Linked DNA regions of Canis lupus familiaris. The protein of the gene in region 2 interacts with the protein of the main gene of each other region in a pairwise test. Links are inferred from orthologs where the notes say so. Each region holds a gene or a part of one and is shown on either strand. Other genes may lie near its edges.

Region 1 (5,571 bases), on a different chromosome or scaffold from region 2:
ACAGGCTTCACAAAATGGGAGCGGCCTTGGTAGGAAGCTCCTAGGTAGGAAGCTCCTTGAAAACTGGTGGAAAAAAATTAAAAAAATAAAAAAATAAAAAAAAACCTGGTGGAAATAACATCCTGTCCATCTCTGAGTCCCTGAGTCTTTGCATCTAATAAGAGCTCAGTAAATATTTGAAAAACTGATTGGACTCAATGGTCAATGAAAATGGGCACAGTCTGAAAAAGTGGCTCTCTGCTCATCAATCAGGGACTTTCCTGAAAATTGCTTGCTACTGATTAATGACAGTGAACACAGATTGCCTCCATGAGAAGAGGAAAGCAAGGAACCAACAAGACAGGTGCATTTTTGAGAATAGTTTGTAAGAGAGATCTAATGGCCCAGGCTGGGAGACATCTGAGTGATCCTTTTGGCTCTATCATAGATTTATTCTGTGGTCTTCAGAGAGCCCACTCTAGGGTTTAGGATGCCTCCACACATGCTGTTAGAAAATGGAGTCTGGGGCAGCCCAGGTGCCTCAGCGGTTTAGTGCCGCTTTCAACCCAGGGCCTGATCCTGGAGACCCAGAATCAAGTCCCACATCAGGCTCCCTGCATGGAGCCTGATCTCCCCCTGCCTGTGTCTCTGCCTCTCTCTCTCTCTCTCTCTCTCTCTCTCTCTCTCTCTCTGTCTCTCATGAATAAATAACATCTTTAAAAAAGAAAAAAGAAAAAAAGAAAATGGAGGCGGGATGGGAAAAGAAGAGGAGGGATTCTCACGTTTCAGGAGGACAGATAAGGAAGACAAACCTATGAAGCCATCTGTGGACGATCCAGGCTCTCTCTCCTCCACCTGTTTTCCCACTTTTGCCCCTCTTTCCTTTTTTTTTTTTTAATTTTTATTTATTTATGATAGTCATACAGAGAGAGAGGGGGGGGGTGGCAGAGACACAGGCAGAGGGAGAAGCAGGCTCCATGCACCGGGAGCCCGACGTGGGACTCGATCCCGGGTCTCCAGGATCGCGCCCTGGGCCAAAGGCAGGCGCCAAACCGCTACGCCACCCAGGGTTCCCCCCTCTTTCTTCATTTCGGTATCTGTTAACCCCTGCCTCTCTCCCTCACACCCAAGACAATGAACTAGAAAAATCAGAGATGCTGAAACTCAGAACCCTCTATTTTGCTTTCATCAAAAGCTTGGTGGGAAAAGGAAGTGGAACTGATGGCTAAAGTGAGTGCTTTAAAGTAGTCATAAATTGCAGTGACTGTGCTGCTTGCTCCTTTTGTCCTCCAAGGTCATGGATAATTGAGTGTTGGCTTGGTGTACCTCCAAAGAGCTAAAGCCTTTGAAATGAAGTACTCTATGAAATGTGAGAAAATCAGAAATGGCAGCTCTCTATGTAGTACCCCTGTATACATCTAAAGATCTGTAAGACATATCTAGGCTGTGCCTAGGTCTCTCAGCCTTTGACTAGACCTGCTATTGACACTCCCTCTACTATAGCCTTTCCTGTCAAGTGGGCCAGAGTGACACAGTGAAATGACAATGGAGTTTGGCATAAGCTGGACTTTGGTTTAAGTCTTTGTGCTACCCTTGCTGTTTGTTTGACTTGATTCATTATTTTGTCTCACTGAACCTGTTTCCTCATCTGGCAAATATATATAATAATGCCTACACTGGAGGATATTGTAAGGATTAAATAAAATGGAGTAGGTAAAATGCTGAAATAATTTTTCTCTTTTCCATTAATATTCCCTCTAAAGGAAACTACTATATCATGCTCCACACCTTCTAACTTTCCAAGGAATCTGGGACTGCAATTAGAGAAAAGAATATGTTGGATAGAAGGCATAAGACAAAAGAGAAAGAACAGGAAGAAAATCATGGAGTGCTCATGTGACCACAAAAGGGACATTAGTTTTGGAAATGTAGGACTCAAAGGTAGAGATGCAGAAGGTGAAGTGGAAAAAAGAGATACCACTAAGATTTAGCCTTGGGGAATCAGTAAGAACCAGTAGCTAATGGGTGTGATCTGTTTTTTGGATACTTCCCCTGATCTGATATCTTCTTCCTGATTTTGAGGTGGGAGAGCTCATGGGGTTCTGCTCATTTCCACCAACCTCTTACTGGGGAAGGAGAAAAGCCATTTCCTAGTTGGATTGTGGCCCCGCCCTAAAAATTGTTGTCTGGATGCTCAAACCTTCTGGATTGCCTGAAGGATGTGCTCTTTTAGGGGATTTGAAGGAACCTGGGGCTCTCATCCAAGCTGAGGTGAAAAGGAGGGAGAAACAGGGTAACTCCTTTATTTTTGAACCAGGAAAACATAGCCCAGGAAGTTTGCAACCCTAGCACATTTTGGAGGAAGCCCCAAAGAGGAAAAAACTTGCTTTTTCAGCTTTTCTCTCGCGTCTTCCTCCATATTTTCCACCGGGCTCTCTGCTCCTGGGAGCACAGCCGGGATCACAGCCCAGAGGCCCGGGTCGGGGACCAGCCGCTCCGCGGTGACGTAATGCCTTGCAGGGTACACAAAGCGGCCTCCCTCCGGCCCGGCCTCTCCGCCCCTCCCCCCGGCCTGGTCCGCGCCCTCGCCAGCACCGGCGCGGTGAGTCCCCCTTTCGGAAAGGCCAGGCCAGGGAAACAGGGAACAAAGGCCCGGGAAGAGGGGCCTGGGCGCTGCCAGGAGGCCCAGAATAGACATCACGTCATCCCTAGCTCGGCAGCGCCAAGCGCCATTTGGTAGCATCGGACGGACCCACCATTACGGTGCAGAACCGCACTTGGGGGCCCTGGGCGGCCGCCAGCCCCGCGCCCCGCGCCCCGCGCCCCGCCCGCCCGCTGGGCAGCAGCTCCTGGCGCCCCCGCAGCCTCGGCTCCCCGCAGCGGGCCGCTGGCCCCCGGCCCCCCAGCCCCCCAGATGCCATCTTGGCGCCCATCCCCCGCCGCTGCCCTCCCCCGCAGCCCGAGGAATGGGAGGGGGAGCAGGGGGCACCGCCCTGAGCGCCCCGAGGGGGAGAGGTCCTCATCCTCCTCCCTTCCTCCCCTGCAGAGCGCCGACTCGGGCCACACAGGTTTCCGCGCGACCCGCGACCCCCGGCGACCCCCGGGGACCCCCGGATTGGCTGGCCCCTGCACCCGCAGCTCAAGTTCTGGCGCCGCTCGCCGTCGCAGGCCCAATCCTAGCGGGTCCGACCCTGAAGGCCCTGGGGTGGGCTTCGCTCCCTCCCGGCACTGGGCGCCCCTGGCTGTGCGGCGGTGCCCACGGCCCCAGGCTTTAGTTGTCCGCACTCTACTTACCAAAGCTAGGTCGGATATTGGTGATCTCAGCCATGTCGTAATCAGAGGCTATTGCTATGTATGCTTTTTCAGGGATCAGACGAGTCTGGGGGCGCCCGGTCAGCACCGAGGCCGCCGCTGTAGAGGGCCAGCTCAGGGGAGGGGGAAGGTGTCTGGCGGACACCTCCTGCGACGGTCGGGCCCCTGACTGCCAGCTGCGGCCGCCTCCTAAGATGCTCCGGGGATGCTCTGAGCGGAAGGATGCAGGTGCAGCCAGACTGGTCCTGATGCGGGTAGGCCCCGCCCTCTTCCGAGCGGCCCTCGGCAGGAGACTCCGCCTCCGCCCGAAGAGTTCCGGGAGCCAGGCCCCGCCCCGGAAGCTCCCGGCGAGGGGACCGCCGAGATTTCTGGAGAGGGAGACCCAGCCCACCGGCGGACCGCGGATGGGTGGGGTGGTCTGAGAGCTGTAGGTGTCTTTCCCTATGCAGTTCTATAGATCCTGTGGTTCCGGTTCCCGGGGCTTAATACAGCAGCAGAATGTTCAGGGTGACGGAACCTAGTATTTTGGAAAAAGAAAATTGTATACTGTCTGCATTTCAGTATCATTTGCCATTATTGTGCATTTCTGAAACTACTAAATGTTATTATGGAAACTTTCTTAAACTTCAGAAGCTCTGATTAAAGACTAAACCAGGTGATGGTTGCACAACTCTGGAAACTTACTGGGGATACTTGTAGAACAATTCTGCAATCCATCTACGGATGGATTTTGTGGTGTAAATGAAAGCTGTTTTTTAAAAAAGACTAATGAGGTGTGTCAGAGTTAACCCGTGTTGGGTATTCCTCTTACAAAAACTTCCAAGGGCTTATAGGGGGTCAGAGAAGGAGACACAAGGGCAGAGCCAGCAAGGAAACCGACAGAACTGTATATCCTGCAGGTTGAAGAGCAGGATACAGAGGAAACTCCAAGCTTCTAGAGACTTCCTTGGCATTGGGAGAGGCAGGGTGATTCAGGTTGTAGACTCCTGGCAGTCGTCTGCACGATTACCGCAATTTCCCTCTTCTCTTTGGCTGTGGACGCTTTCATCCTGTTTACAGACAGGATCAGGTCAAATTATTTAAACGCATGAGTAGCTGTTGGTGGTGTACCTGCAAACGGAGATGGTTGGGTGTATTGTTTCAGCTTCGACATTCTGTCCTTCCAGAAAAGTGGAGAGAACGTGGGTCTAGGAATCATGCATTCATTCAAACCCCGTGTGTTGGATTAATAAACAGCACTCCATCCCGGGCGCCTTTCCAAGCGCTGGACCTGGCATGTCAGGAGCTGGAGTTAGGGCACCTGCGGTCCCTCAACAGGTGTGTGTATGCAATCACCTGCCCAGCCAAGCCGGAGTTAGGACACCTGAGGTCCCTCGACAACTGTGTGCGTGGAACCACCTACCCAGCCGAGCCAGAGTTAGGACACCTGAGGTCCTTGGACAGCTGTGTGTGTTTAAGAACCTGACCAGCTGAGCCGTGTTAGGGCACCTGAGGTCCCTCCACAGCTGCATGTGTGCAATCACCTACCCCGCCGAGCCAGGAGTGTGTTCCGTACGCGGGGGAGGGTGTAATAGCCACTATCCCCCGGGGCTACTGCGAGGATCAGGTCACCTAAGATAACTTACTTGAAAGCATTTTATGGAATTAAGAGCATTATGCAGACCGCAGCGATCACTGCGGGCTGAGTCCAAGCCTGCCCCCATTTTATTGGGGAACCCGCACTATTGGTACAAGCCCGGGGGTCTTTTTCCTGCAATTTTATGAATTCGCCACTTCCTCGGTTCCGCGTTCCAGGTATTTCGCGGCGGGAACGAAGAGTTGTCAAAGCACACCACCGAGTCGCAAAGTCCAGCCTTATTTTGAGTAGGATCGCTGCGCGTACAGAGAAAGCGAGAAGGAATCTCGCTTTTAAAGTCTTTCGCAAACGTCGGACGCGCCGGCTTCAGTCCGCCCTCACCTAACATGGGGCCTGGGGGCTTGGCGCATGCTCCCTGGCGGCTTGGCGCCGCGCACCGCCGCTCGGGGGCGCGCACGTCCGGCGCTGCCGTTGGCCGACTTCCGGCGCTGGCGGAGCTGGATTTCCGCGGGAGCTGGCCGGCTGGTGAGGGTGGCAGGGCGCGTGCGGTGGGGCGGGAAGAGGCAGGTGGGAACTGGGCTTCCGGGCAGAGGGGTCGGGTCAGCATGGGGTGTGTGACGGTGCCGGGCTGGGCGTGGGGACCTGGGCCGCCGCTCGGAGCCGCGGTGGGAAGCGCAGTAAGGACCCGCTCTTGGAACCTGTGC
Region 2 (4,937 bases):
GGGCTATGTACAATTCCTATGGTCCTGGCTGAACGCGGAGGCTGTGATAAATAGTGATAGAATGTCTATCAGATCAATGAGAATGGAAAATAGATATTGTCAGCTATTACTGCCTAATGAACAACCACAAAAATCCCAGTGCCGTACATCAAATGAGCATCTCCTTCATGTCAACTGGGGGTCCGTGGTGCCAGCCTGCCTCAAGCTGGAAGGCTTTTCTCAAGCTGTAGGTACAGCTGCCCTGGTCCTCTCTGTGGTTGAACACAGGTCTGTGTCAGATGTACACATGGGGCCCTGGCTCAGGAGGTGGAAAGCACCCAGAGGTGCTCTACTGCTGACCACAGCAGTGGTGCAGATACATTTTAAGGCCCTGGTTCAATCATATTGGCCAAAGCCAGTCACGTGACTGAGCCCAAATCAAGTCTAGAAGGAGAGATGGGAGTGAACAGCTCTGATGAAAAATCTCATCTCTCATATATACGATGAAGGAGATGGAAAGGAGATCAAATCATGAGATAGGTGATCTAAAAAAGAGAAAAGTCTAAGCACACCTGAAGATGATAGTAAGATGTCAGATTCTATACAACAGGTAATAGTGAGACATTTGAAAAGGTTATGTCGCACACTCCAGAAACTTGTACATAATAGATGATAGAGGGAGATGGGAGGTCAGGGAGCAATTGCACAGCTACTATAATGATGAAAGCTTAAAATGGGGAGGTGGCAATTGAGAAGTAAAGGAGCAGGAAGATATGAAGGCAATTTCTGAATCAGAATTAGTTGCTCTTGGCACCTTGCTGGATATAATGGTAGGGTGGAGGAGCCCACAGCGGTGATTCTACTGAAGCCATCAGAAGACACAGAAGGATCATCAGAGTTGTAGGTGATGGGGGAGGGCCTGATGCCTGTGTACCATGGAGGAGGGCAGTGCTTCGACAGAAATGGGGACATGAGGTGGGGCAGACTAAGATGGAGATTGAGGACACAGTGACCATGGCTGAGTAGGAGCCACCCTGAGATTCACAGAGCTGTGAGGACAGGTGGCAAGGAAAGCAAGCATGTCCAGGTGACAGAGGCCTGGGGCATGGGGTACAGAAGCAGAAATGGTACTGAGGACCAGAGGGCATCCCAGTGATCTTCTGAGTCCACAAGGTGAGCCTGCAGGAAATGCTGCTGCATGTTGGGCACCCCTCATAAATGTTTGCTGGTGATGGTGATGGAGCTCTGGAGGGAGGATGGGGGCCAGTTATGACTGTTACAAGCATTGCTGTGTTTGCATGGTGTTGTTTGAACATTGCTACGATGAGAGCATGATTGTGGGTAGTTTATAGATATTGAAATTCAGGGATTGATCGAAAGAACGAGGTCCTGGCTCTGCAGGAGGAGGACTGCAGACAGATGAGTGATTTTCCATCCAGTAGATATTCTGAGATGAGGCTTTGATCTCAGGTAGTCTTGTTTTAGCCCTAGCAAATTATCTGACTTCTAACTTTAATTCTAGTAAATTTTACAGTCTTCTGTTCATACACATCAATATATTGATGCAGAGCATTTTTTCACATATTCACTGATTTTAATTGTGATCTTGGATGGATTGGCCTGCGTATGCTGTTCACTTGCTTCCCCATCGCTGTGGTGATGTTTGCTGGTGACATAGGGGATGCGTGTGGAGTCTACCATAAACATGATTTTAAATTGTAGAGAGAAATGCTCTGTAACTGACAATAACCAACCCTCTGTTTATAAAATGGAGATGAATGCCAGTATTTATATCTGAGAATTGGGAGGACACATCACTTCAGAAGTAAATCAATTTTAAAAGAATTTTGCTTTTTGCTGTGCTTATGTGTGCAGTGTGGTACGTTTTTGCCCTATGAGCTCTCGTGTTGCTTTGACTGTTACCCTAGTTTTCTGTTGCTGTGTTCCATGTATCCCCACGTTTTGGTAGCAGGCATGTGTGTGAGTGCCGTGGCCCTGCTGACCCTGTGTCTGCCTCTATCAAACACACATGGCTCTCAAGTTCCATGACTGCTGCAACCTTGGGCCTAAACAGATCTTAGCCTCTTCTGTGGACTCTGGGATGGAGGACAAGTCAAACCTTACTTGGCATTTTAATGATTGCACTTTCTCAGTCTGTGTCTGCCTTGTTCCCACACAGAGCTGTGACCTGGATCAGCAGAGCATCATTCACGTTGTGCAGAGACCCTGGAGCAAAAGCCAAGAAAGGGAGGTCCCTGGAGGAGATGGCCCACGGAAGGCAGTGGAGGGCTCAGACAGAGAGCCTGAGAGCTTAACGCGTGTGGACCTCAGCAGCTCTGTCCTCCCAGCCCACTCGGTGGGTCTAGCTGTGATCCTGAGCGACGACTCTGAGAGGGTTCTGCCAGCCAGAAGACCAGGTAATTGTACAGATTATGTCTACGGCCAATAGAGCACTTTGTGTAGCCGACCTCTGCAGGGAAGGGGCTCAGTATGTACATATTTAATTCATGTAAGGTCTGGATTACTAGAAGGAGGCATCATTAGAAGGATGGCACTTGGCTATAAAATTTGAGGTGAATACATTTAATAAATACAATAGAACAGGGCTTTCAAATTAAGAATGAAGGGAAGGGCTGGAGCAGGTGTCAGGACCATGGTCATGGTATTTTATTTTAGTTATTTTTAAATTTAATTAATTAAGATGAAGCAGGATGCTGGAAATATGATGCATTGAGCTAGGGTCAAAATACATGATTAAGGTGCATCTATATCCCTCCCAGGTTTTGCCTTTCTTTTTCTATTTCTTATTTTCTTAAAATACATTTTGGTTTATTGTGTTTCTGATGATGTAGGGAAATTTCAAAAAACAGAAAGAGAACTTTAGAGGTAACTTTAATCGTGTGCCAGTGCTAAGACATTACAATGTCAATAACACCCGCAGTGTGAACGATGTTTCTGTCTTTCCGTGTTACACCCCATTTTCAAAATGCTTTTATTTAGCAAGGATGGCGATTCCTTTCTTATTTTGCCAATATTAATGTATTTCCCTTAATCTTTTATTTTTATTTTTTTTTAAGATTTTATTTATTTATTCATGAGAGACACAGAGAGAGAGAGAGAGGCAGAGACACAGGCAGGGGGAAAAGCAGGCTCCATGCAGGGATCCCGATGCGGGACTCGATCCCAGGTCTCCAGGTGAAGGTGGCGCTAAACTGCTGAGCCACCCAGGCTGCCCAGTCTTTTATTTTCCGATCTAAATAGTCAAAGGTAGGGGTGCCTGAGGGTACCTGGGTGGCTCTGCCTTGAGCTCAGGTCCTCATCTCAAGGTCTTAGGATCAGCACCCACCCCTCTTCCAACTCCCTGCTCAGTAGGGAATCTGCTTCTCCCTCTCCCTTTGCCCCTCCCCACTGCTGTGCACTCCCAGGTTCCTGCACACACACAGGCTCTCTGTCTCTCTGCCTCTCTGTCTCAAATAAATAAATAAATAAATAAATAAATAAATAAATAAATAAATAAATAAATCTTTTAAAAAAACAGTCAAAGGGGGCAGCCTGGGTGGCTCAGTGGTTTAGCGCCTGCCTTTGGCCCAGGGTGTAATCCTGGAGTCCTGGGATCAAGTCCCATGTCGGGCTCCCTGCATACAGCCTGCTTCTCCCTCTGCCTGTGTCTCTTCCTCTCTCTCCCTGTGTCTCTCATGAATAAATAAATAAAATGTTAAAAAAAAATAGTCAAAGGTATAACAGGATTCTTTTTGCCTGTGTGTGACAGAAAGCACAAAATAATAGCAATGACTTTGTAAAGTATAAGTAAATTTCTCTCCTATATACAGTAAGTGAGGATTATATGAGACATAGGAAAAAATGTAATACATGGGGAAAAATGAGATCCATCTAAAACTCTGCAGCACCCATGTGATCCAGAATGGAAAGTTAATATAAGTATTGGACTCCGATTTATGGTGCATCTGATGTTTCAAGTGGAGCATACATAAAAGCTATTCTAGAGAACATTCAGGTGGCATGGCAGGTCGCTTCCAGAGGGAATCACCCCCTCTTAAAGGGGCACACGTCATCAAACATTACAATTCAAACAAAGAGACATTCTGTCTTGAGTAGAAGTAAGTATATTCCATAAACTGGAAGATTGGTTTCCCCTGAAACTTGAGAAAATAAAGTAACAATTTGAAACAGAACACAAAACAAATACTTTTGATGTTAATTAAAGCATAAAAGAAAAAAATTGAAACCTAAAACAGAATACAACCATAATAGAAGAACAGCTATTAAATAGAACATAATTTTAGCTATTGGAATGAAAAAAAAAAAAAAAAAGTCCTCAGTGGATGGGTTAAAACAGCAAGTTTGGCAATGCCAAAGAGAGAAATTGTCAACTGGAAGATAGAAATGAAGGAGTTGTCCAAAGTGGTACAGGTTAAAATGTAAAACAATGCTTTTAGGAGACTGAAAGTTTGGAAGAGATGGCCAAACATATTTCTGATGAGTTTCATGACAGGAGAATACAGAATAGAAAAGAGACAGTTTTCTAAGAGAATACTGAAAATTTTCCAGTATGTGTAAGTCCTCTGATTCAAGAGTACATGGTCCCAAGCATAATAAAACAAAGAAACACACAATTGGTCTTAATCAAGATGAACAAAAATAAATTCACTTTATAAAGAAAGTAAAGGACCAAGGAAAAAAAGAAGATATTAAAACCAATTGAAGAAGGAGATTACTTATAATAGAACAGTAATTCGAATGGGTCCTGGCAGGAATAATAGAAGAAAACAATATTGGAATAATATCAAATGGCCAAGGGATACACTTGTTAACTTATGGCTCCAAACCCAACAGGCCTAACAAAAATATTGCTCAAGAGTGAGAGGGAAATAAAGACACTTTCAGATGAACACTGAGAGTATTTGTACTCAGTGTGAAAGAACTGTTGAAGTACTCAC
Region 3 (5,388 bases), on a different chromosome or scaffold from region 2:
TACTCTTTAGAATTATTCATTTTGGATTTAATTAATTTTGACTTCCTGCTGTGATGAATGTTTAGCTTGCTTACTTTCTTCCTTTCCAATATATATTTAAGTTCCTCCGTTGGTGATCATTACTCTAAGTAACAAATCCATACCTTTATTTCTTGTTCAACCCCAGACGTTACCCTTTGACCATTTGGGTCCCAAGCCCCTCCTTCAGCTCTTCTCTCAACACATATTTTCAGATTTCCAATAAATACTGTCCTCAAACTGCCCCTGGACCATCTCTGGTCCACCATGATGCTGTTGCCTCTACTTTTAAGCTTACCTTTCCCAGTTCCATTCCTCTAGGATCCAGCATAAATCTAGGCTCCTCTGCCAAGGGGAAGCCTCACTGCCTCTCAGGACACAGTGAAAAAACTTCGTCCCCAGAATGCCTGGGGCATTTGTTAGTTGTTCTACGAATCCAACTACCAATTGTGTGTGTTGTGCTGTTTTGTTTGCACTTGTATTTAAGATTTCACGGCTTAGGTACAGCATGTTTTCCCAGCAAGACTCTTGGGATCTCTAAGCACTTCAGAATCTTCCTCTGGTGCCTTGTATATACTGGAGGTTCTAGCGCTAATACGTAAACCTCTCAGAAGCCTCAAAAAGCTGAGGTTCAACGACAGCCCTTAGTTTCCCAGTCCGAAACCTCCCAGGAGCCTGACCTACCACCAAATAAAACATCCAAAGGAAGCGTACTTCTAAGTACACGGGCAAGCTTCGCGAGGGAAGCCACCGCCTTCAAAGTCTCGGTCTGCAGGACACCCGAAGGGGAGTCCGGGTCTGAATTTCAACGGTTACCGGGAAAGGAGTCGGGGCGGGGGGGGGGGGGGGGGGGCACAGCTACTTAACAGACAGCCTGGATTTCAGTAAGCGGCCAGGCTTCACGCCTGGGCAGCCGGGATTCGGCGATGAAGCTACGGGCAGCTACGGGCAGCTACGGGCAGCTACGGGCAGCTAGGCGGCCGGGACCAGGCGCTCGGGGCCCCGGCCCCCGGGAGGAGCGGGGAAGGCGCTAGAAGGCGCTGCGGGCTGCGGGCGCGGGCGCGGGGCGGCCGGGAGGGGCCGGGAGGGGCCGCGGGCGCGGGGGCTCCGGGGCAGCCGGGCCGAGGATGCGGCGGGCGGCGGGCGGCGGGCGGCGGCAAGGGCTCTGCGCAGCGGCACCTGGCCCGAGCCCGAGCCCGAGCCCGCGGGAGGTCGGGGCCGCCCAGGGCCCCGCAGTTATTCGGGCTGCGAGGGCTGCGAGGGGTGGCGGGGGCCCGGCTCGTAGTTACCCGGGTGCCATTTCAGGGCCAGCTTCCGATAGGCCTTCTTGAGCTCCTCCTCGCTGGCGTCGCGCCGCACCCCCAGCGCTTCGTAGTGACACTTCATCGCCGGGCCGGGCAGGGCGCCGGGGCCGGGGCCGGGGCCGGGGCCGGGGCCCGGGGCGGGGCGGGGGCCCGGGCCCGGGCCGAAGGGGCGGCGGCGGCGGCGGCGGCGCTGCTGGGCCTCCTCGGCAGCGGGAGCCCAGCGCCCGCACCGGGCCAGCCAGCGAGCGCGGCGGCGGCGGCGGCGGCGGCGGCGGCAGCAGCGCGGGGCGGCGGAGGCGCGCGACGGCCACAGGCGGCGCGGGCTGCGGCAGGCGGGCGCGCGGAGGGGGCGGCGCCGGCGGCCGCGGCTCCGCATGGGCTGGGGGCGGGCCCGGTTCCCGGAAGGCTGCGCGAGGCGGAGGCGGGGCCCGGACAGGTGGGAGGCGGGGCCTGGATAGGCGGGAGGCGGGGCCCGGCCGGGCGGGAGGCGGGGCCTGGACAGGTGGGGGCGGGGCCCGGACAGGCGGGAGGCGGGGCCCGGGCGGGCGGGGGCGGGGCCCGGACGGGCGGGGGGCGGGGCCGCGGCGGGCGTCATAGTGAGCGGCACAGTGGGCCGTCTGTGTAAGGAGCGCCAAGAGGGCAGCCTGCCCGAGGCTGATGGGGAGTCTGATGGGAGATTCTGGAAAACACCTTGTTTTCTGAAGATAATTTCTCAGTGGAGCCCCGTTTTTAGAGGAGGCAACTCGGACTCCAAGTAGTCGAGTGGTTCATTCAGGCCTCCCCAACTGCTCAATGGCAGGATTCAGGTGGACCCAATACCGGGTGTAACTCTTCAGTTCTCTCCAGCCGCCACTCATCGAGATCTCTAATACTGCTCAATCTGACCAATATGCAGAGAAATAACGGTAAATATGATGGCCTAAATTGGAACAGTGGGAGACAGCATCAACACATTTTTTAAAACATACCAAATGTTTTACCTCCAATATGGGTAAAATTGTGCTAACCCATCCATCCATTCCTCTCTAATCCTAACTTTCTGGTTTCTAATCCTACATTTCCTAGTATTTAACCATTTTTTCCTTGATCTAACTGATAAGAGTATTACAGGATGGGAGATCCCTACAACTGTTCCAAACAATTTGATAAGGTATCAAAATAGTATTCTAATTATCATTTAAATATGTTGGTGAAATATGCACACCAATGTATTTCATTGTAATGTGGAATGTTTACATACATCAGTTGTTAGGTGTCGGTTTCGTCAACCATGCATAAAGAGGTTTGGCTCTATTGCTAACATCTATTGTACAAGGTGGTCCCTCGTTTCCCTAATACTCTGCCCTATCAATCAAGACCAACCAACCCTAAACCTCATCAAGTTTTTCCACACCACTATTCAACCAACTCATACTCAAAATTCATACACCTGCCTCCTTTTCAAAGAAGGAAGATACCACACACCACCTTAGTTTGTAAATCGGCAATGGATAGTTGAGTTTGAATACAGGGCAAAATAGAAACTCTCCCCATTTGAGAATGGCTTTGCGGTAGGAATAAAACGTGGCTAAGAAAATAACTTTTTTCCCCCAACTACATCTGGTTTTGTTTAGGACTTGTGAGTCACCTGCCTTTTTCCTCCTGAGAGAAGAGGGAACTCTTTTTGCCTGTAACATTGTACAGCAACGTAAAGACAATTACACTGGATATAAATTTGTTTAAAGAATTACCTTTGTTAAACGAGTTGGCTTCTAAATGAACATGGACTATAAAGACGAATTCTCATTCAAATGAGGTACTCCTATAAATGACTGTAAAAGGGAAGTAATTTGGGACAGGAAAATATGTAGAAACTGATAATCAAAATTGTAAAAAAAAAAATCCATGAAAACTCTACAACACACACCTCAGAATATGTTAAAAGTTTGGGTCTTCACTCAAACTCACAACTTGTTGAGCCAGTTTATTTTATAACCTATAATTAACTTCTTGAGATGTGAGTATTTAAATTCAAATCCTGAATTACAGCTTTTCATCCCGGGCTATATTCAATTGCTGAAATAAATCAGCTTTTTCTCCCCCTGCACTTAACCAGATTTGGTCTTCATTACCAGACACAAGTATTTTAAGTGAACCTCTTAAAAAAAAAAAAAAAGTGAACCTCTGAACTGACCTACCTGCTTAATATGAATTGCAAGATAAGTAGCCTAATTTAGACTATTTCAAAATAAAGTGGCCTCATTGTACAATCAAGGCCTTTCTTTGAAAAAAATTAAGAAAAAATGAAATATAATAGAAAATCAATTGTTCTGTCTACAGATTTAAAGAACAAAATTAAAATACAAGTGAGGAACCGGGAAAGATGTATAGAATAACTCAGCCATAGAAGAGCTCTTACAAATTAGTAAAAGAGAACTACAAAAACAAGATTAGTAACAAAAGAAAAACTATTATCTTCCCCAAAAAGGTATTCTTTTTTAACTTACCAAACTGACAATGATTATTTCACTGTTGTCAAGTGTCATTATTTCACTGTTGTTTTAAGTATATGAACTCTGACCTCTGGTGAAATACAAAATGTCTTAACATTCGTATCTTTTGACTTGAGTTCCACTTATACGAAACCACAAGGGTGATATAAAATAATTTACGTCAAGAAATGTTTGCTATAAGCACCCATAAGTTAATAACTGAAATATCCCACAATAGGGGATAGATTGTATAGTTACGGCATAGAGTGGAATACTATGCAATTAGTCATGTTCTATAATAAAGACATGGGGAAATGATTAATATGAAATAAGTGGGTCACAGAACAATACACACATGATCCAATCCTGTTATGGATATGTGTATGTAAATCAGTCTGCCTCTTCAGCAGCTACCTGTCCATGGCCGCTAACACCCAGAATCTTGTCTTTCCCTCTTACTAACTAACCTCCAGGATATAAGCTTCCTGCTTTCTGCCTCAAACAGTTCTTTCATCAGGAGAGAAACTCACATGTTCCAGTACCCTCTAACTACTGTTCCATTTTCCTTCCTCTTAATTATTAACTCAAGCAATTTATACCCACTGCTTCTAAATTAAATTTGTAATCTACAAAATACTTTCAACACATATATTAAATCCTTTGATTCTCTAAACCTAAGAATTTTTATTGTGCTCTTTCTTGAGGTGAGAAAAAAGGATCAGGGATTACCTTTTCCAAGGCCTCTTGCATTGGTGACTCAGGGACTCCGATCTCAGTAAGATGTTTTTTCTTTCTACCAGTCTATCTGCAGGTTACCGTCCGAAATTATGCTCTCAAAGTGCCTAAAATTCGTTGTTTTACAAGTAGCAAATGACCCAGTAAATCTGTTTCAATTTCAGCTTTGCTAAACCCAAAATTTAAATCCAAGAAATCAAGGCTAAACCTGAAGTATGCTGAATTTTAAGTAATATCAAACTAGCTTTGAAAAGAAAAATAAATTAATTGATGAGTTCTGGTAATATTTAGAAAAACATACACACCACTGAAGCCACGAAGTTTAATTTGGTTTTTCTGTCTTAAATGCCACACTAATGAGATGTAAGGTAGTCCTGGATAATAAAACCGTATTTACACACTGAATACAAAATAAATATAAAATTACTGAAAAGTTAGTTATCCACTGATTCATTTTGCACTGCCACTGTTCATCTTCTGTTTCATTTTTCTTTGCCTTTTGTAAATCCTTTTCTTTCTTGCCTTCAAATCCACTTTTGGCTCTGGTTTTACCCACTGTATTTCTATCGGCTTTTCATCAGCTGGTATAACAAAAACATCAGCAGTGGGATCGTGTGGAAGAATAGTCTTTGGTTCTTTCTTTTTCATTTTCTGTGCATCTTTCACTTGTTGTTTCTCTTTGTATTTTGCAGCTGTGATGGATCTTATGATACGCCGATGCTAAAAACAAAAAAAAATATCAGATGCATTCCAAATATATGGTGAGAACATTCACTTACACATTTTTTCCCCCTTCATTCTTGTCATTAAAAAAAGTAGTAATTTGCAAAAATGTGTGCAGAAAACAACAACAACAACAA
Region 4 (5,534 bases), on a different chromosome or scaffold from region 2:
ACTAAAAAGAAATAAAGGACTATAAAGAAGAGAGGGAAATACAGATAGCAAAAAATACCAATAGTTGTTTTAATAATAATAAAGGTAAAAAATATTCTTAAGGATCAGAGAATTAAATTTAAAAAATGAAATAAAAATGAAAACACATATTTAAAAATAATCAGAGCTAAAGAGAAAGAAAATTAAAAGACATACATGATAAATACCATCACTCAAAACTCTTAGGTCTCATAAACTTACCAAAGTTTTTATATTCTTTTCTGAATTTGGATGGAATTCCTTTCTTTTGAAGGTTTTTTAAAGAACTGAGTAACTTTTTTTTTCTTTCCCCAGTTTCTTTTTTCTGTCCTCTTTACCTTGTTTTTTCCTCTAATATATAAAGCCTTCATCATGCCCATTTTAGACAAGCCAATACACTTCTGTTACTGGGGGTAACTCTCCTGTTCACTTTATAGTTTACTTTTGTCTCATTCTTGCATATGTCAATTTCTTCTGTATTATTCAAGAAAACAATCAGAGAGATCTTAAACATTGACCTTGAAAAGGCAATTGATAGATACATCTCTTTTACATAAATTCAACTACCTCCGCTGCAATTAAAAAATGAACTGTCTACAAATAAAATAGATATTTCAGAGCTACATGGAGCCTGGCAACAAAAGAAACCCTAGGTTTTGGTAAAGTAGCAACAGCTGGTTTAGCCAGTATGGAATGATTCTGCATCTGATCCCTGCCAGGATAACAGAGGGTCTTATTTACTATCTCTTCCCTTGTTCGTCTAAGTAGGTACTGTTTTCTGTTTACTTATCTCCTAGCTTTGAGCCCTGGAACAATGTTGAACATAGTGTCACTGGCTCTGGTGCCAGACAGGATCAGGGGCTCTGGAATATTTACAGTTTCCCTTCTTCTGCTTCCATAAATGAAATGGGCAGTCTGAATGGAGGAAATCAAGGGCCAGCTGGCTAAAAACACAACTGGCAACAAAGCACTTGGGCTCCTTCCAAGAGCTGGTGTTTAAAGAGAGGCCATTTAAAGAGCAAATACCAACTACCATAATAACGGTCCAGGACACTAGCTGTACGATGAAAAAATAAAATTTTACTCAGCAATATTTTTGTCTCCAAAGTTTGGAACCTATTATATGCCCCCCTTCTTCTTAAAAAATTTTTCTACTCTTAGCTAATCCCTTAAAATAACCAATCCATTATATCCTAACAAGTGACAAGTACATACTATATATGCATGCTCAAATATATATGTATGTGTGTGTGTGTGTATATATATATATATATATATATATATATATGTATATGTATGCAAATTCAGTGCCATGATGGCCAAAGTGTTATTCTTTGCTTAAACTCATCCATAAAAAATAAATAAAACTGTTAAGAAATTGAGAAGGAAAAGGAGAGAAATAAGAAATGACATAAGAATTTAGATGGGATAGCATGGCAGACTGCCAAAGGACACTTAAACTAATTTGGGAGGTTATTAATATATCATGAAGCCAACTGACAAAGGCAGATTTCCTTTGTTAAATAAAATAGTATTTCCATTTTGATATTTAAGAAAGATTCAATAATCTCCTTGGGAAAAAAATCATGTTGGAGCACTACTTGAGAAACAATACATGATTTTTGGTTGTTGCTGCTGAGTTCTGGTAATGACAACCACACAATGGCCATTTATTAACCCTCGACTCTCTGGTGCCAAATCAAGGCTATATATAAATGCCATATTCGGAGGGATCAATTTAAAATGTAAACAATTCTATACATGATGAAAACATAATTATTTCAAAATCCAGGAGCAGAAGAGTTTGAAAGTGAGCAAACAAAGCTGCCTCTCTCTTTTTCTCTCTCTTAATGATTGACAGGAGAAGCGGAGGAGGCCCCAGAAAAAAAGTAAAGGGGTTCAGCAGCTAGGTGGGTGCGTGGAGCAGCAATTGGGATGCTATACATCCCCGAAATGGGTAAAGCCAGTAGTTTGAGACCCCCTGGAAGACATTATTACCTCGATATAGGGCACAATCTTGCAAGAGAAGTCCTCCAGCAGCCACTTCTTCGTCAGCTCGTGAAAGATGACGAGCGGAAGGCAGAAGAAGATGATGAGAAAGTCCCAGAAGGCCAGGTTGGCCAGGAGGGAGTTGGAGATGCTCCGCATGTAGTAGTTGTGACACACGATGCACATCACCGCCAGGTTGCCAATGATGCCGGTCCCGAAGATCACCACAGACAGACACATGACCGCATAAGCTCCGTAGGACTCCTGGGTCAGCGGGTAGAAGGGGTTCTTCAGTCGCAAGCGCCGGTGCGTGCTGTTCCCCCGGCGGAGCCCCCCGCGCTCGTGGACGCCCTCCCCTGAGGACCCATTCTGGGCCAGCGCCCTGCCAGGGGGTGCGATCGTCCGCCCTTCGTGCCCCGACGGTCCATCGACCGTCTTGGGTGGGGGGTCGTGGTGGGCACCCTGGGGTTTCCCGCCTCTCCTTGGCCAGTAATAAAGGTCGCTGGCTGCAGGTTCTGTCCTCACACTCGGCTCCTGGCTGTGCCCAGAAATGCCAGCGCCTCTAGGACCCTTCTCTGCCCCCTCTGAGCTCCGAAGGAAGAGTTGGAGAGCCGGGGGGTTCCCTCTTCCCAAAGTTCCGGGGGGCTCCTGGCCCCGGGCCCCTCTCCACCTCCAGGCTCCAGAGGGTCTGGCGGGAGGTCCCGAGGGTTCCGCGGCCGACACCTCCGGCCCTGTCCCCGCACCTGGGTCACCGCCCCGGGCAGCCCTGAGGTCCCGCCAGGGCGCCGCGCGCGCCGCCGGCTCCGGCTCCTTCTCCCTGGGCGCTCGGGTTAGCAGAGGGTCCCCTGCAGAACTTCGTCCCCACGCGTCCCTGCTGCGGCGCTGGCTCAGTGCAGGCGAACAGTTCTGTCCTAGGCAAGCCTCGTTCCCGGGCCAAGGAGCGGCCCCGAGGGCAGGCGAGGCGGAGAGCTTGAGCAGTAGCAGAAGCAGCAGCCGCGAGGTGCGGGCGAGAGGCGCGCCCGGGGCCCGCATGGCTCGCAGAGGGCGCGCCCGGCAGCGTGGCTCCCGGTTAGCACCGACACCTGCTGCCTAAATTGCTGCTGAGAGTCGGACACATGTCACATACTCACCCCCGCCCCGGCGATGGGGGACGGGAGATTACGGAGAGGTTGGGGGATGGGTCTTGGGTCACAAACCCTCCCCTTCTACAATCCTTCCTCTTTCGGCTTCCCGTGCATTTCGCAGCCAAATCCAGCCCGAGCGCCGCGTATCCCCAGGGTTCAGAGGGGGAATCGCTGCTCTCGGTGGCCGACCTTGAAAAGTTGCCACCAGCACCTGCTTGTTGGTTAATGTTGCGACTGGGAGAAGCCCGGACCAAGCCCCACGTTCCTCCCTGCCTTTGGGCGGCTGCCTTCTCGGCAACAGTAGCTCTGCCTATTTACTTCCTTTCCATACCGCTTTATCCAGTTGGGAACAGTCGCGCTGCCTTTTTACACCCTTTCAATAACCGCTTTATCCAGTTGTAAGCCGAGGTCGCTACAGGGAGAGAAAAACGAGTTGCCCCTTTGCGGATGACTGGCAGCCACCATCCCGCTCCCGGCTCGCTGGAAACAGGTTGCAAACAGCTGGACGCTGCGCCGACGCGCCCGGGGAAACTCTCGCCCCGCCTAACGCCAGCGACCTGCGAGGCTTCTGCTGCCGGGGAGAAGCGGGATCCGAACCCCGCGGCCACCGTCAAAGTTGCTGCTCCTCCCGCTCAAAGTTGACCGGGGGGCGGCGCGGGCTCGCGGGCAAGGGGCTCGGTGGCGGGGGTGGGGACGCGGCCGACGGAGCTCGTCGCTGCCACAGCAGGCGCTAGGCGGGCGGAGAGTGCGGTGCCTGGAGCGGCCGCGGGCGAGGCGGGGCGCGGCCGGGGAGGGGAGGGGAGGGGAGGGGGGAGGGGAGGGAGGGGGCCGGCCTCGCCCCGCCGCCCCCGTGTCCGCGCGCGCCGCCGGGAGCCAGCGCTCGGCCCCGGGCCTCCTCCTGCGAGAGATGCCGTGGTGCGCGGAGGAGGCTGGTCCCCTGGCGGTTGACGACTCGCGAAACGCACACGCGTTTCATTCAAGCCCTTTGTAGCGGCCTTGACCTGACTCGTGGGAGCCGGGAGCGGAGAGGCCCCACGGGCGGAGGCGCGGGCGGGAGCCGGGCGCGCCCCGTCGGTTCCCCAGACGTCGGAACCAGCGCGGCGGCTCCCGGGCCCCGGGGAGGAGGAAGGTGAGCCGCTCACCTCCCTCGGGACTTCCAGGAGCTGGGCCTCGAGAGGAGGAGGAGGCTCGGATGTTTCCATCGCAGAGACAGCAGTTCCGAGAGTGGGACGCGCAGCGAACGTGTTCGGGGGCGCCGGGACCTGTGACGCCGACTGGGGAAGCAGGCCCACGGGGGTTGCTGGGGAAGCAGCTCTGTTTGACGGACTCGTGGGAATGACAGGTGGGCGGACGGGGACAGCGCGGCCCGCCGTGCAGGTGCGGCCTTCGCACCAGACCTCGCGCTCCTGCCACGGCTCCTCGGGGCCTAGTTCGTGAGACCGGCGGCTATAATATAAAACAGGCGGATTGATTAAAAGAAAGTGATAGAGGGAGAAATGAATGCGTTTTGAAGTGAAAAAGGGCAACATCTAGAAAAACAGGAGAAAATACAATGAAAACCATGACGCCGAGTATGACAGGTACAGAGTAATGGCCCTCCAGAAGAGGCCCACGGCCTAATTCCCAATACACGTGAAGATGTTATCTGACTCGGCAAAAGGGACTTTGCAGATGCGATTCGGTTAAAGATCTTGAGAGGGGAAGAGTATCATGAATTATTATTATTCAGGTGGGTCCACTGAGATCACAACGGTCCTTACAAGAGGGAGGTTACAGGGTCAGAGTGAGGGTTTTTTGTTTGTTTTCTTTTTGTTTTTGTTTTTGTTTTGTTTTGTTTTGTTTTGTTTTTTTTTTCCAGGTGGCAGAGATACCTTTATTTTTGCAGAGCAGAGGCAGCATTTACTGGCTATGGAGTCTGGGTGGCAGCTGTCCTGAGGCTCCTCTCGAGTACCTTCTGGACACCGGTCTCCAGTCTGAGGAGAAGCAAGGCCGCCATGCTAGGGGGCAAGGCTCCCCCTTACTCCCTGAGAGGTCTCCAGCAAGCCCTCCACCCGAGACAGCTCTCACAGGGTGCCTTCTAGGAGGTACTGTTGGAGGTAGGACTTGAGGGCAGGTTCAGGGGCAGGCTTCCTTTCCATCACAGTGAGTCAGTGAGCCAAGTAATGCAGCAATCTCTGGAAGCTGAAAAAGTCCCTGCCTGTTCATTTTAGACTTCTGACCTCCAGAACTATAAAACAATGAATTTGGCTTGCTTTAAGTCACTGAGTTTGTAGGAGTTGGTTGCAGCAGCAATAATAAACTGATATACCAATTAACCTGAAAATGTAGACAGCAACATTTTATTGAAAAATATTAACTACCAAAAATAGTTGGGAAGAATTTTTTAGAAACCTAAAGATAACC

The links.
Region 1: the proteins of PRKN (region 2) and SYT11 interact in binary tests that used the Homo sapiens proteins (3 or more experiments, as listed by UniProt). The link is inferred for Canis lupus familiaris from reciprocal best matches to the Homo sapiens genes PRKN and SYT11.
Region 3: the proteins of PRKN (region 2) and RAD1 interact in binary tests that used the Homo sapiens proteins (3 or more experiments, as listed by UniProt). The link is inferred for Canis lupus familiaris from reciprocal best matches to the Homo sapiens genes PRKN and RAD1.
Region 4: the proteins of PRKN (region 2) and GPR37 interact in a two-hybrid assay, tested with the Homo sapiens proteins (2 studies listed by BioGRID). The link is inferred for Canis lupus familiaris from reciprocal best matches to the Homo sapiens genes PRKN and GPR37.

Annotation. Positions count from the first base shown.
Region 1 is NC_049228.1:41,910,472-41,916,042, forward strand, and holds the start of SYT11 (synaptotagmin-11), read right to left. Parts: upstream 3,582-5,571; 5' UTR 3,308-3,581; coding exon 3,274-3,307; intron 2,582-3,273; exon of another isoform or gene 2,478-2,581; intron 1-2,477. UniProt on the Homo sapiens protein: Synaptotagmin family member involved in vesicular and membrane trafficking which does not bind Ca(2+). Inhibits clathrin-mediated and bulk endocytosis, functions to ensure precision in vesicle retrieval.
Region 2 is NC_049222.1:51,317,477-51,322,413, reverse strand, and holds part of PRKN (E3 ubiquitin-protein ligase parkin), read left to right. Parts: intron 1-2,158; coding exon 2,159-2,396; intron 2,397-4,937. UniProt on the Homo sapiens protein: Functions within a multiprotein E3 ubiquitin ligase complex, catalyzing the covalent attachment of ubiquitin moieties onto substrate proteins. Substrates include SYT11 and VDAC1.
Region 3 is NC_049225.1:74,280,730-74,286,117, forward strand, and holds the start of RAD1 (cell cycle checkpoint protein RAD1), read left to right. Parts: upstream 1-1,915; 5' UTR 1,916-2,227; intron 2,228-2,935; exon of another isoform or gene 2,936-3,117; intron 3,118-3,641; exon of another isoform or gene 3,642-3,789; intron 3,790-4,836; exon of another isoform or gene 4,837-4,978; coding exon of another isoform or gene 4,979-5,245; coding exon 5,246-5,289; intron 5,290-5,388. Other genes in the region: DNAJC21 (dnaJ homolog subfamily C member 21), read right to left, coding at 317-349; BRIX1 (ribosome biogenesis protein BRX1 homolog), read right to left, coding at 4,979-5,248. UniProt on the Homo sapiens protein: Component of the 9-1-1 cell-cycle checkpoint response complex that plays a major role in DNA repair. The 9-1-1 complex is recruited to DNA lesion upon damage by the RAD17-replication factor C (RFC) clamp loader complex.
Region 4 is NC_049235.1:10,977,722-10,983,255, reverse strand, and holds the start of GPR37 (prosaposin receptor GPR37), read right to left. Parts: upstream 3,864-5,534; 5' UTR 3,040-3,863; coding exon 2,017-3,039; intron 1-2,016.